3 linked regions of the Canis lupus familiaris genome follow. The protein of the gene in region 2 purifies or fractionates together with the protein of the main gene of each other region. This does not show direct contact. Links are inferred from orthologs where the notes say so. Each region holds a gene or a part of one and is shown on either strand. Other genes may lie near its edges. The genes, in order: PDCL3, CCT6A and TLE2.

Region 1 (4,156 bases), on a different chromosome or scaffold from region 2:
ACACATTTCCACAGAGGAGGTTGTGCAGTTTGAGCCTTTGGCTTGTCAATCTCTGGAGAGAGGAATCACCAGGTGGGGATGAGTCCTGTTCTGAGGAAATAGGGCTGGGAGTGAAGAAAGGCTATAACAGCACCCACTTTATTGCTGTGGAAGGTTGCAAAGCTTAGCATAGGGCCAAACTCACCCCAAACTAGTCTGGTTCCTGATTTTGGTAGTAAGACAAGGGACAATGCATTCACAGTTTGCTGCAGATAAATAAATAAACAAATATTTCAGGAGACCTGTAATTCTGCGGTAAGGAGTTAGGTAAATATTAAGAATCCTTATAAATTATAAAAACCAAAGCTCCTTGCCTTCAAGGAATCATTTTATTTTCACTCTGTATCCCTGGTTTTGCATGTTAGCAGCAAAGACCTGAGGATCTTCAAGAAAATACCAGTTCCAGTCAACTCTTTTGACTGGGGATGGTGCCCCAGCATAACTGCAGTGTTTGAAAGCTCCCAGGGGGTCGACGTTGGGAGTCGTGAGCCCACTCCCAGATGTGCGGATGTGTATCTTCTGTGTTTGCTTCATTGCTGAGGCCGCACGTCAGCCCAGCTGTCCCAGGAGTGAGATTACTTTCTTAACTCAAATTCGGAGCGCTGTGTAGCCAGAAGCCTGGAGCCCAGCACCTGCATTTTTACAATTTAGATTCTTCTGGTTTACTCGGTGCCTCCTGTGTGCCTGGGCAGGGCCGAACACTTGCAAAGATGGGCCGCCTGAGGCTTAACCAGGTGAAATGACTTTCACCTTTTTGTCTGTCGTAATCACCGCCGTATCCGCAGAGCCTAGACTAGTGCCTGGTGCACATAGGCTCCTGGTAAGTATGTGTCTGAATTAACTGCCTTATCTGACGCTGAAACGATAAGCGAGTGAATTCCGGACGACCCTGCATCATTTTCAATTGTAACACTGGCGCACTGAAACACCTTTCTACTTCTGACTTCGGGAGCCGAGCCCTCCTTACAACGGTAGGGTCTGAGGCAGCAGACGACACCTCGCAACGAGCACCTCCTCCATCTGGCCCCACCTTTCCAAGGACCGAGGCCTGCCCTAATAAGGTAGCAAAGAGAAGGGGCTCCGGGTCACGTGACGCCAGCGGACCGCCCCCCCGCACTGACAGGACCCCATGCGCATGCGCACAGCTTCCGCGCCGGTTTCTAGAGCAGCGGGCGCAGGCGCAGACGTCTCGCTGACTCCCTGGCTCCGCCCTGCTCTCTGCTAGGGGGCGGGGCCAAGGCCGGGCTGGAAGGGGGGGGTGGCGGCTGGGCGCATGCGCAGAGAGCTGAGGGGCGGGGACACGGCTTCCGCCTGGCGTGACCAACTTTGGGCACCATGCAGGTAAAGAACCTGGGGGGCCGAGGCCTGGGGGGGCCGCAGCGCGTCTGCCCCGCTGGGTCCGTGGCAGCGGCAGACCGTCTGGGCTGGGACCGTGGGGAGCGCCGGGCGCCACCGGCGCAAGAAAGGTCACGCGAGCCTAGGCGGAGCGCAGGCGCAGGCGCAGTGCGGGAGGGCGGGCGTGGTCCCGCCGGGCGCCGCGGGCTGGCTACCCGCACCCCGTGGGCCTCGCCCCTAAATCTCAGGCTTTTGGGGCCGTCCCGTGGCGTGTGTGAACAGCTCGCCCATCCCACCTGACAGGGTTACTTCCTGTTTGTTAATTCTCTTCGCACCTGAGCAAGTGTGTCAGGGGCCCGTTGTGTGGATGTGGAAGCTGAGGCGGATGAGGGAACGGTCCCGCCTGGAGATCCCATGACGTAATCGGTGTCGCAGCCCGTGTCCCCGACCCCACCCGGAGCGGGAGCCGGAGCCGGAGCCGGGTGAGGGATCTGTCCCATCCTCTCCCTCCCTCGCGCTGGTGTGCAGGTTGAGGTGCGCTCCCCTCTCCGATTCCCCGGTTCCCAGCTCAGCCCTAGGTCCTTCTCAGTTACTGTCTGAAAATAGATAAAACCAAACCCCCTAGTTTTGTCCTCTTTTTTTTTTTTTTTTTCGTATCAGAAATTTTCTAATGGAATTGGACAAACTTACAGCGAAAGAAAATGAAGACATCATGGAAATTAGCAAAAGTTTCGGACTAAATGCTGCCCCTTGTCGAAGGACCCTTTGCCAGAGGTCATCCTGCTGCTTCCTAGACCTCACTGTAGTTAGGGATTCTGATGAAATCCTCGCTGGCTAAGTGGCACATGACAAATGGAGTTAGTGTGGGTTTGCTTGGGAGCTGGGCAGGATAAGCGTCTACAAATAGAGTGTGTCTACCAGAAGCCAGACACTCGGGAGTGGGGAAGAGAGAGCTCCAGGGCTGCCCTGGCCTCCTTGGCGTTCTCTGTCCCTTAGAACCCTGCGTTGAAATGTCATTTCTTGAGCGCCTTCCCTGACCACCCCGTTGAAAGGATTCTGTTCATTTTCTTTTGATAGATCTCAGCAAGACAGTGACGTGGAGTTGGGGCTGCAGCCTGGCTGTTTTAGTGCTCTCTCCACAGTGCTCTTGGAGTTCCTATGCCAGACCAGGTCCATTAGCAGTGTTCTAGCCAAGCCAGGCAAAACCAGTGTTTGACTCGCTAGTTTGGGGAGCTAGAGCCCACTTTGACATGTATCCTTCTGACATTTGATCCTGGTAAATTTGACTCGTCCCAGTATGACAGTGTCTTCCTAAATGTCACATCTTTTCCTAGGCTTGTGAGGATTTACTAAGTAGGTCCAGGTAAAGGGCTTCAGAGAGTGCCCAGCACCTGGTACTCAGTAGGCGTTAGCCATTGTGAGCTATTCCAAGGGGTCTCCGTTCTTCCTCTCAGGTTGAGCTGTTTGAGAATTTGTCAGCCTAGGATCAGGCTCTCCTCCTCCTGACTCTACTGGAGCCACTTAGAACTTTACGATACTCCTATCTCCATTCTTGGGCCCTTTGCACATGCTGGTTCCTCTGCCTGGAAAGTAATTTCTTAAGTTATCATTCCTCACGTCTGCTTCCTTCTCACTTTTCAGTGATGGTTAAATATCTACTTCTGAGACAATATCCCTACCCATTCTGTGGAATGCAGACCTCTTACAACTCTCTAGATCGACAGCTTGTTGATCATTACACTTGCCACAAGCATTTAGTATATGTTGAATGAATCACTCTGAAGCATTAATAAAAATATCAAATAGAAGCCAGGTTAGAGTCCTGGTGTGAGAATTGATACTGATTTGCACATCATATCCTGATTTTTACCAAAGGCTATTTACTGGGTGTGTGTCTTGCATGGTGAGGGTGAAATTGAATGAACAGGAAAAGAACAGGGCTGGTGGATCTTTTGACACTTTCTCAGAAATAGGCCACAGAATAATTTGGTTTGAATTCCTCTTCCCGCCACCTTTCCCATTCAACCCTTTCCCCAACATGGCACCCTTTGTAGTGTACTTTGCACTCATAGTATTTTTGGTCCACTTCCCCCAGGACCCTAATGCAGACACTGAGTGGAATGACATCTTACGCAAAAAGGGCATCTTGCCCTCAAAGGAAAGTTTGAAAGATTTGGAAAAGGAGGCAGAAGAAGAAGAACAGCGAGTCCTTCAGCAGTCAGTTGGTGAGATTGCTTATATTCTTTATTTGTTCTGTCTGTGGATTAAGAAACAACTTTTTAAGCCTCTAACTGCTTTGGTAGAAGGATGTTCTGAGCAGGAATTGGGAACCAGGGATTGGAGTGCTGGGATAGACACTATTTCTGGGACCTTAAGTGTGTCACAGGCTGTCCTCTAACCTTCAACTTCCTGAGCTGTAGAATTTCCACATTTCCACAGCTTCTTGTCTGTATCAGATGAGCACCTGATAATCCTGAAGAAAATATTTCTGAGTCTTGACTTAATGCCCCATTGATCACAGGGGCCAATACTTTTGTCTTCTTCCATGTTAGAGCTAATTTAGAGATGAATTCACTAGAAAGCATTTATCCAGTGAATGTTTATTGAATAATGACTGTCTACCAGGTGTTATTCTAAGCACTGGGGCTCTTGCTGTATACAGACCAGACAAAACATCCCTGTTCTTATGGGGCTTACATTCTAGTGAGAGAGACAGACAATAAACAAGACATAAGTAAATATGGGAAAATAAGGCAGGGAAAGGGCCTGGAAAGGGTTGGAA
Region 2 (3,642 bases):
ACATGGAAGGGTAGCTTAGTTTCTATACTTTCAGTTGATTACATTTTCACAAAAACAAAAAAACCCAAGAAATTAAATGGAACATACCAGATTAAGAATATGATATTCCTAAAGGTTATTTTAATTTTGGCTTTCTTAAACTTACCAAGAGTGAAGAAGCTGTTTCTTTACACAATAGTTATCCCATATGCCTACTTCGGCGGCTACCATTGGCTCACCTGAAAAGTAACCCAGTATTCTTAAAATCTCAGAGAAGAGAGAGAGAGAGAAGCACAGGCACAGGCAGAGGGAGAAGCAGGCTCTCTGCAGGGAGTCTGATGTGGGACTCAATCCCGGGTCTCCAGGATCACGCCCTGGGCCAAAGGCAGTGCTAAACCCCTGAGCCACCGGGGCTGCCCTCACACAGCAAATTATAAAGATCAAAATGCTAAGACAACAGAGTATTTTATGATTTGTTCATCATTGATTATTCTATGAACCAAAGTTCCTCAGTCCAATTTTGCTCCAAACCATGACTCTTGTGTCCAGTGTCTTTAAGTGGCTGATCCCTACTCAGAAAACTTCCAGTAATAGTAATACTCCATTTGGTTACCAAATGTTTGAACATCCCTATTTTTCAAGACACATTCATTCTGTTTGTCCATATTAGAGCACTTGAACTATAATCTGGCCAAAATGGGTTTATCATTTCCTTCATCCCAGAAACCTTTTCTATTAACTTGGATGGAAATGCTATTGACAACAAAGGTCTTATGTATGCTGCAGGGGTGTGTATCTCAGTTATCTTTCTTCCACTTTGTACTTAAATATTTTGTGTTACTGCATTTAAGACTAGGGCTTTAAATCATTTAAGATTTGGTCCTGTCTTCTAGCATTATTTGCTATACTCAGCCTTTTTTCACCCATGAATACGATCATCTATTTTCTTATTAAAGTCCCTGATGGAAAACTAAGTAAAAGCCAGCCCAACACGAAATCTTTCTGTATTAACCTGAGCCACCTACTACTACTCAGCAAAATCAACAAATCTATACTCTTTTAAAATTATACAAACGTCCACTCTATTCCCTTTGTTTACTGAATCTAGTCATCCCATTTTTATATCGTATTTCAGAAATCAGGGTTCCCTAGTAACACTGGTGTCAAACTGTAAAGCACCTCTCCAAGATTCATTTGTCTCCATTTTTTTTAAAAAGAATTATTTATTTATTTATTCATAGAGACACAGAGAGAGAGAGAGGCAGAGACACAGGCAGAGGGAGAAGCAGGCTCCCTGCAGGGAACCCAATGCGGGACTTGATCCTGGGTCTCCAGGATCACACCCTGGGCCGCAGGCGGCACTAAACCGCTGCGCCACCGGGGCTGCCCATTTGTTCCTTTTTTGATCCTTCCTGGTTTTATCTCACCGGACTCTAGTTCCCCTACAAATAGCTGCATTCTCTTACCTGTGTTCAAGTCCACACCCACAAGTTGACCTGATTCTGAATGTTCTGCTTGAACTTTAACTAGTGTTTCCTGAAGGTCAAAACCAGAGTTCTGAGCAAGAACCTAAAGCAAAAAAATTTAATCTTTTAAAGGACAGAACCTAAGAAGTGTCAATCTGTAATAAACCATAATTCTAAATAAGAAAAAACAAAAAAACCCATCAAAAAACCTCAATGAAGACAGACCAGTTATTCTCTAAAGTGAACATTAGAGAATAACTAGACATTTGTTACTAACTCATTACTCCACCCCAAGCCCAGCAACACACTGGTCATAAAACTATGCCAAGTGAGCACACAACAGAATAAAAACAAAACGTAAGCTTGTACTCAAGTATAACCCCTATACTGCAAATCCTCTTAAAACAGTTTACCTCCTGCCTCTGAAACTTCAGATATTCAACTCCCTTCCAGAAGAACCAAATACATTTGGATAAGAGATAGCGGTTTTTTTTTTTTTTTTAAAGATTTTATTTATTTATTCATGAGAGACAGAAAGAGAGAGAGAGAGAGAGAGGCAGACACACAGGCAGAGGGAGAAGCAGGATCCATGCAGGGAACCTGATGTGGGACTCGATCCCAGGTCTCCAGAATCATGCTCGCGGCTGAAGGCAGCGCTAAACCAATGAGCCACCCTGGGCTGCCCAAGAGATAGCTTCTTTAGCTATATTCGGGAGAAAGCTGGTAAAACTTGTTTAACTCCAACTCTACATTATGAGAAAGACTCCACGTTAATAAAAAACTTTCATCAGCTAACTCATTTTGATGTAGTTAAGAAAACTGTTAAAGTAGTCATACCTTGGGAATAATGAGCAATGCATCAGCAAATGCTTGAACTCCCAGCTGGGCCCTCCCCTTTACACTGGGCTTATATTTAATCAAGGCTTCTGCCATTGCCACTTCCACTGCACCCGCACCCGGAACTACACAGCCTGTTGGGGGTGGGAAGGAAGGAGAGAAATGATCAACTACGAAGAAAATAAAACTGTGGAATCATTAAGAAAATACATAAAACACAAACATAAAAAGCATTAATTTCTTGAGAATGTGGAATAGCCACAATATTGCATTTGAAAACACTATAAGCAACACATTATATTTCTAAAATATTATATATTAGAAATATAGATTTCTCTGGAAGAAAAACATTAAATAGCAAAATGCTTCAATTTAACTAGTACTTGGAAGGTTACTATTAGTTCATTTTCTTCTATCACTTTTTTTAAAAAAGATTTTATTTATTTATGAGACAGAGAGAGAGAGAGAGACAAGAGACCTAGGTAGAGGGAGAAGCAGGTTCCCCTTAGGGAGCCCAATGTGGGATTTGATCCCTGAACTCCAGGATTGCGCCCTGAGCCAAAGGCAGACAGTTAACCACTGAGTCACCCAGGTTACCTACTTGTATTCACTTTTAAAAATGATATGCTATGAAAAAGCTTAGCACACCATTAGAGGCATTTTAAAGGGAACACTTTACTTTTGCATGGTGTCTGGCTGTGTAAACTACTGATAAAAAGAACACAGTATTCAGCCATGCTTTTTTTATACTTGTAAAAGAATATAAACACAGTAAGCATCTTACCATCATCAATAGCATTTTTAACAGCCCTCAAGCCATCTCTTATTGCATCTTTGATTTGAGTGAGTGTGTGCTTATTTGGTCCTTTGATCAATAATGTGACAGAGCGAGGATTGTTACACTTCTCAATGAAAGTGAATTTCTCTTCTCCCTATGTGAAAAAGAGGTATTTTCAAAATAGGGTATGTTTGTACCAAGACTGGGAACGACTAGAGGAGCTTATAAAAGAGTAAGTAACATATTAAAAAGGGAACAACATACCCATCACATTAAAGCAAATTACTTCATAAAAAAAGGTCACATATAAAAGCAATGTGATTTTCCCCATCAATGCCTTATCATTACTACACATAACCTTCAAAATGTATGTAAACAAAGCAAGAATATGATCCTAGGTTTGAATGAATTTTTTTTTACTACCGAAGAATTCAAGAACCAAAGAACATTATCATATTATCTTCAGAAAAGAAATACACTTACCAACGTATACTCATAGACAAGTCCTGCATGTCCCAAACAATCAGGATTTAGGTCATCGAAAGAATTTAGAGCTACTCCACCACAAGCAAGAGTCAGCCT
Region 3 (4,083 bases), on a different chromosome or scaffold from region 2:
CGCCAAGCTGTGATTGTGCCTTGTCCGCAGAGCTCGGAGAGGGCCAGAATCGCTTCCCCTTCGGTCACCCTCGTATTCCTGGCACCTGGAAGGATACCTGGCCCCTGATAGATGCTCAATAAATTATCTGTTGGCTGGAAGGCGGTGCTGCTCAGCTCGGGAGGGCTTCGTCTACTTTGGCTCCCCCGCCTCCAACACAGGGGCAGGCATCACCGCGAGGCAGGGGTTTCTCTCTATTTTGTGTCCGCTGCGCCTCGGTGCCTAGAGCTGTGTCTGGTCCGCAGGAGGTGCTCCAGGCATGCTTGTTGACCGACTTAACAAACTTTGAGGTTTTTCCTACCAAGATGGGAGCAAGGAGGTGCGATGTCCCAGGTGAGTGTGGGGGATGCTCCCAGGCTGGCTGCGGTCTGTGCCCCCAGTGGAGCGCCTGCCCCCAGCGACCCCGGTCTGGTGGCAGGGATTCGGCTGCCCTTCTCAGGGCCTGCTCTGCCCTCTAGGAGCTCGCAGTCTGCTGCTGGTGGCAAGGGGAGTCCGAGTCCCAGCTGCGGGAGTTTGCTCGTGCAGGGCCAGGCTGGGGGCTGTTCAGGCCCCATCTCCTTAAAGGACAGCTCCAGGCTCTGCCGTTTTACAGATGCGAATACTGAGGCCGGAGGGGGCGAGCGGGGTCTGCCCTCCTCGGTGCAGGTTGCCGGCCTCCTCCAGAACCTGTCTCAGCCCTCTCCCTCGGGAGGGCCCCTTCACCCCAACCGCCCCCTCCCCAGCACGCTGCCCCCCACAGCACCCCCCCGCCCCCCGCCGAGGTGTGTCTGGCTTCCCTGCACGTCTCTCCTCCGGGGAGGGAGCGGGCGGCGTCGGCGGGGCACTGGGCGCGGGCCTCAGTTTCCCCACGGGGCCCGGCCGGGGGCGGGGCGGGGGCGGGGTCCCGGGGCGCGGGCCCGAGGCGCGGGGGGCGCGGCGGGCGGGCGGGTGGGCGGGCCGGGGGGCGGCGGCGCCACCTTAAGGCGGCTCTGCCCGCGGCTCCCGGCCGAGCCCCGCCGGAGGGAGGCGGCTCCGCGCGGGGCCCGCCGCCCGCGCCTCCGCCGACACCGGGCCGCGGCTCGCGCGACCTTCGCGCCCGCCCCGCGCCCGCGCCCCCGCCCCGCCCCCGCCCCGCGCGCTCGGGGGGGCGCGGGCGCTCCGGGTCCCGGCCCCGCGCCGCCGCGCCCCTCCTGCTGCCTCCGGGCGCCCCCGGCCCCGCCGCCGCCCCCCCGGGATCGTCGGGCTCCGGCGGCGCGGGGGCCTCCGCATCGCCAGGATGTACCCCCAGGGGAGGCACCCGGTGAGTGGGGGCCCGGGCCGCGCGGGGGCGGGGGGCGCGGGCGCCCGGAGCTCAGACCCCGCCGCGCCCCCGCCCGCAGACCCCGCTCCAGTCCGGCCAGCCCTTCAAGTTCTCGATCTTGGAGATCTGCGACCGCATCAAAGAGGAATTCCAGTTTCTTCAGGCTCAGTACCACAGGTGAGGGGGGCGGGGGCGCCGCGCCCCGGGGGAGCCGGGAGCTCACCTGGGAGCTCACCTGGGAGCTCACCTGGGAGCCCCCCGGGGGGGGGGGACGGGCCCGCTGGGGGCCCCCGGGCGCAGCCAGGCGGGGGCGGGGCCTCCAGGGTGCCGGGAGGAGGGAGCCCCCCCTGCAGGGCCGAGGGAGGGCTTCCAGGTGGAAGCGCAGGTGAGGTGGCCGGGGACGCTCAGCACTGGGGCGCTTGGAGCCTGAGAAGGGGCGGGAAGGGACTGGACGGAGGTGGGGCGGCGAGCAGGAAGTGGGGACAGGGGACGGAGCCAAAGCCATCACTTTGGAAACTGGCCCAGACCGGGTATCTCTGCGTCCTGTGCCGGGTGGGGCGCGGTGGGAGTAGAGGCAGGGCGCAGAGTGGGATCCCCATGCTCCTCTCCTTCCCAGCCTCAAGCTGGAGTGTGAGAAGCTGGCCAGTGAGAAGACAGAAATGCAACGACATTATGTCATGGTGAGGGGCTTCGGGTGCCAGGAGCTGCGGGCAGTGGGGAGGGGGCTCCGCTGTGACTGAAAGCGCTGGGGGTTTGACTCCCCGCTCACCCTGCCCCTCCGGGCCTCATTTTCCGTCTTGTAAAGGGGGCTGGTTGGGATTCCTGGCCATCCTACAAATAATGAGGCAAGGATGTCCCCTCTCCTGATGGGCATCTCTGAGGGGCCGGGGTCTCTGGGCACCTCCTCCTGCCACCCTCCCTGCTTGCTCCTCTGGTCTTCCCCTCTGGGCTTGGGGGGAGGCTCTGTGCCCTGCTGTGATTCCCCCAGCCTGGGGGCTCCCCGGAAGCCCCAGCATCACCCAGCTCAAGGCTGGGCACCAACTGGCACAGTAGACATTCCCAACTGGCTCTTCCTTTGCAGTATTATGAGATGTCCTACGGGCTCAACATCGAAATGCATAAACAGGTAACTGTTGGGGCTCGGGGTGTTCAGGAGGAAGGGTGAGGGTCTGGAAGCTGTGAGAGAGACCCAGCGCTCAGGCAGTCCGGGTCTTATCCTGAAATCTCTGGGACCAGGGGGCCAGATTTCAGCCTCACAGAAGGAAAACAGTTCTGAACTTCTGGAGACAGGGTCCAGCAGAGAGGCGAGAAGTGGGCAGGAGCCAGGTGTCCCTGTCAAGGAGGGCTTGTGGCAGAGGCTGCAGCCAGGTCGGGCAGGCAGTGGAGGTGACTTCTGGCCCAGGGAGGTCCCTTTCAGGCCAGAGAGTCTCATGTTTGGAGGATGGATCCTGATGATCTGAGCTGGACCCCAAGCTGCTGTTGATGCTTTAAAGGATGTAAGATTGGCCCTAGTGCCCTGAGGGTCCGAGACTCTCATCAGCTTCTGAGTGTGATGCAAGGTTCTCAGACCAGAAGGGTCTCAAATTGACTCCAGTTGTTCAAGATTAACCCCGAGACGGGGTGCCCAGGTGGCTCAGTCGGTTAAGCATCCGACTCTTGATCTCAGCTCAGGTCTTGATCTCAGAGGCGTGAGTGCAAGCCCCATCTGTGTTGGGTTCCACGCTGGGTACCAAGCCTACTTAAAAAAAGAAAAAAAAATTAACCCCAAGGACCTGACACTGACCTCAAGGTTCTCTGATAGATGAGGGACCCCAAAAGATTGTGAGGTTGATGGGGTCTTAGGTTCTGTCCCTGAGACTATCAGAACAGGGTAGGGGTGGGGGGGGTGGAGCCTAAAACAACACTCCTTCCGGGTGGGTGGGAAGAGGAGGGGGAGTGGGCTAAGAGTGTGGGCTGCCTCAGGGTGCCCGCCCTGGTGTGCTTTTCTGGGTATGCGTGGGCTCTGCTGGCTCTGGTGTGGGCCGCGGCGGGCGGGGGCTGACCTGGCTGGAGTAGGGCGTGGTCCTGGGGGTTCATGAAATAGACCATCTTAGGGGGTGGGAGGGGGCAGGCAGGTGCTAGGGCCCGGCCCCCACCCTCCCAGTGGGAACTCAAGCCCTGCCCAGATGCACGAGGCACACAGCACCCCTCTAACCCCGGCAGAGGCGAAGCATAGCCTGACCCTGCACACACCTGGATATGCCATACCTGCCCCTCTCCCCCTGCCCCCATGCAGCTTTCCCTCTGTTCAGCCTCTCAGGGCTCCCCTGGCTCAGATCCTGTCCCCGAAGACACCTGCTTGTAAAACCACAGCCTCCCCTCCACTCCCTGTACTTCTGCGCCCAAACGTGTGGGTTTCCCCACATACCAGCCGATTCTCCAGCTACGACACCAGCAGATGTCCTGAGATTCAGCTTGATTCTGACACTCTGCCTGGAATTAGCTCAGACCTCACAGGTGCGGGGCTCGGCCCCACCAGGCTGCCCCTGTTGCAGATGCCAAGCAAAAGTCTGGGTCTCTGGCCCAAGCGTCTGACCGTTCAGCTATATATAAGTTGAGGGTTCCCGTAATCCCCACCTCAGGTTCAATAATTTGCCCAAACAGTCCCCAGAACTCAGGGAAACAGTTGGCTTGTTAGATTACCCGCTTATCCTATAGGATCGGATTCAGGAACAGCCAGATGGAAGAGAGGCGCGGGGCGAGGCATGGGGCGGGGGCGCAGAGCT

The links.
Region 1: the proteins of CCT6A (region 2) and PDCL3 purify together in Homo sapiens (affinity purification with mass spectrometry; 3 studies listed by BioGRID and IntAct, with this or other methods). This does not show direct contact. The link is inferred for Canis lupus familiaris from reciprocal best matches to the Homo sapiens genes CCT6A and PDCL3.
Region 3: the proteins of CCT6A (region 2) and TLE2 purify together in Homo sapiens (affinity purification with mass spectrometry; 3 studies listed by BioGRID and IntAct, with this or other methods). This does not show direct contact. The link is inferred for Canis lupus familiaris from reciprocal best matches to the Homo sapiens genes CCT6A and TLE2.

The regions. Positions count from the first base shown.
Region 1 is NC_049231.1:43,274,023-43,278,178, reverse strand, and holds the start of PDCL3 (phosducin-like protein 3), read left to right. Parts: upstream 1-1,249; 5' UTR 1,250-1,374; coding exon 1,375-1,380; intron 1,381-3,469; coding exon 3,470-3,599; intron 3,600-4,156. UniProt on the Homo sapiens protein: Acts as a chaperone for the angiogenic VEGF receptor KDR/VEGFR2, increasing its abundance by inhibiting its ubiquitination and degradation.
Region 2 is NC_049227.1:465,457-469,098, reverse strand, and holds part of CCT6A (T-complex protein 1 subunit zeta), read right to left. Parts: intron 3,641-3,642; coding exon 3,544-3,640; intron 3,215-3,543; coding exon 3,067-3,214; intron 3,022-3,066; exon of another isoform or gene 2,882-3,021; intron 2,417-2,881; coding exon 2,283-2,416; intron 1,549-2,282; coding exon 1,446-1,548; intron 219-1,445; coding exon 146-218; intron 1-145. UniProt on the Homo sapiens protein: Component of the chaperonin-containing T-complex (TRiC), a molecular chaperone complex that assists the folding of actin, tubulin and other proteins upon ATP hydrolysis.
Region 3 is NC_049241.1:56,607,761-56,611,843, forward strand, and holds the start of TLE2 (transducin-like enhancer protein 2), read left to right. Parts: upstream 1-1,205; 5' UTR 1,206-1,294; coding exon 1,295-1,318; intron 1,319-1,397; coding exon 1,398-1,495; intron 1,496-1,934; coding exon 1,935-1,998; intron 1,999-2,399; coding exon 2,400-2,444; intron 2,445-4,083.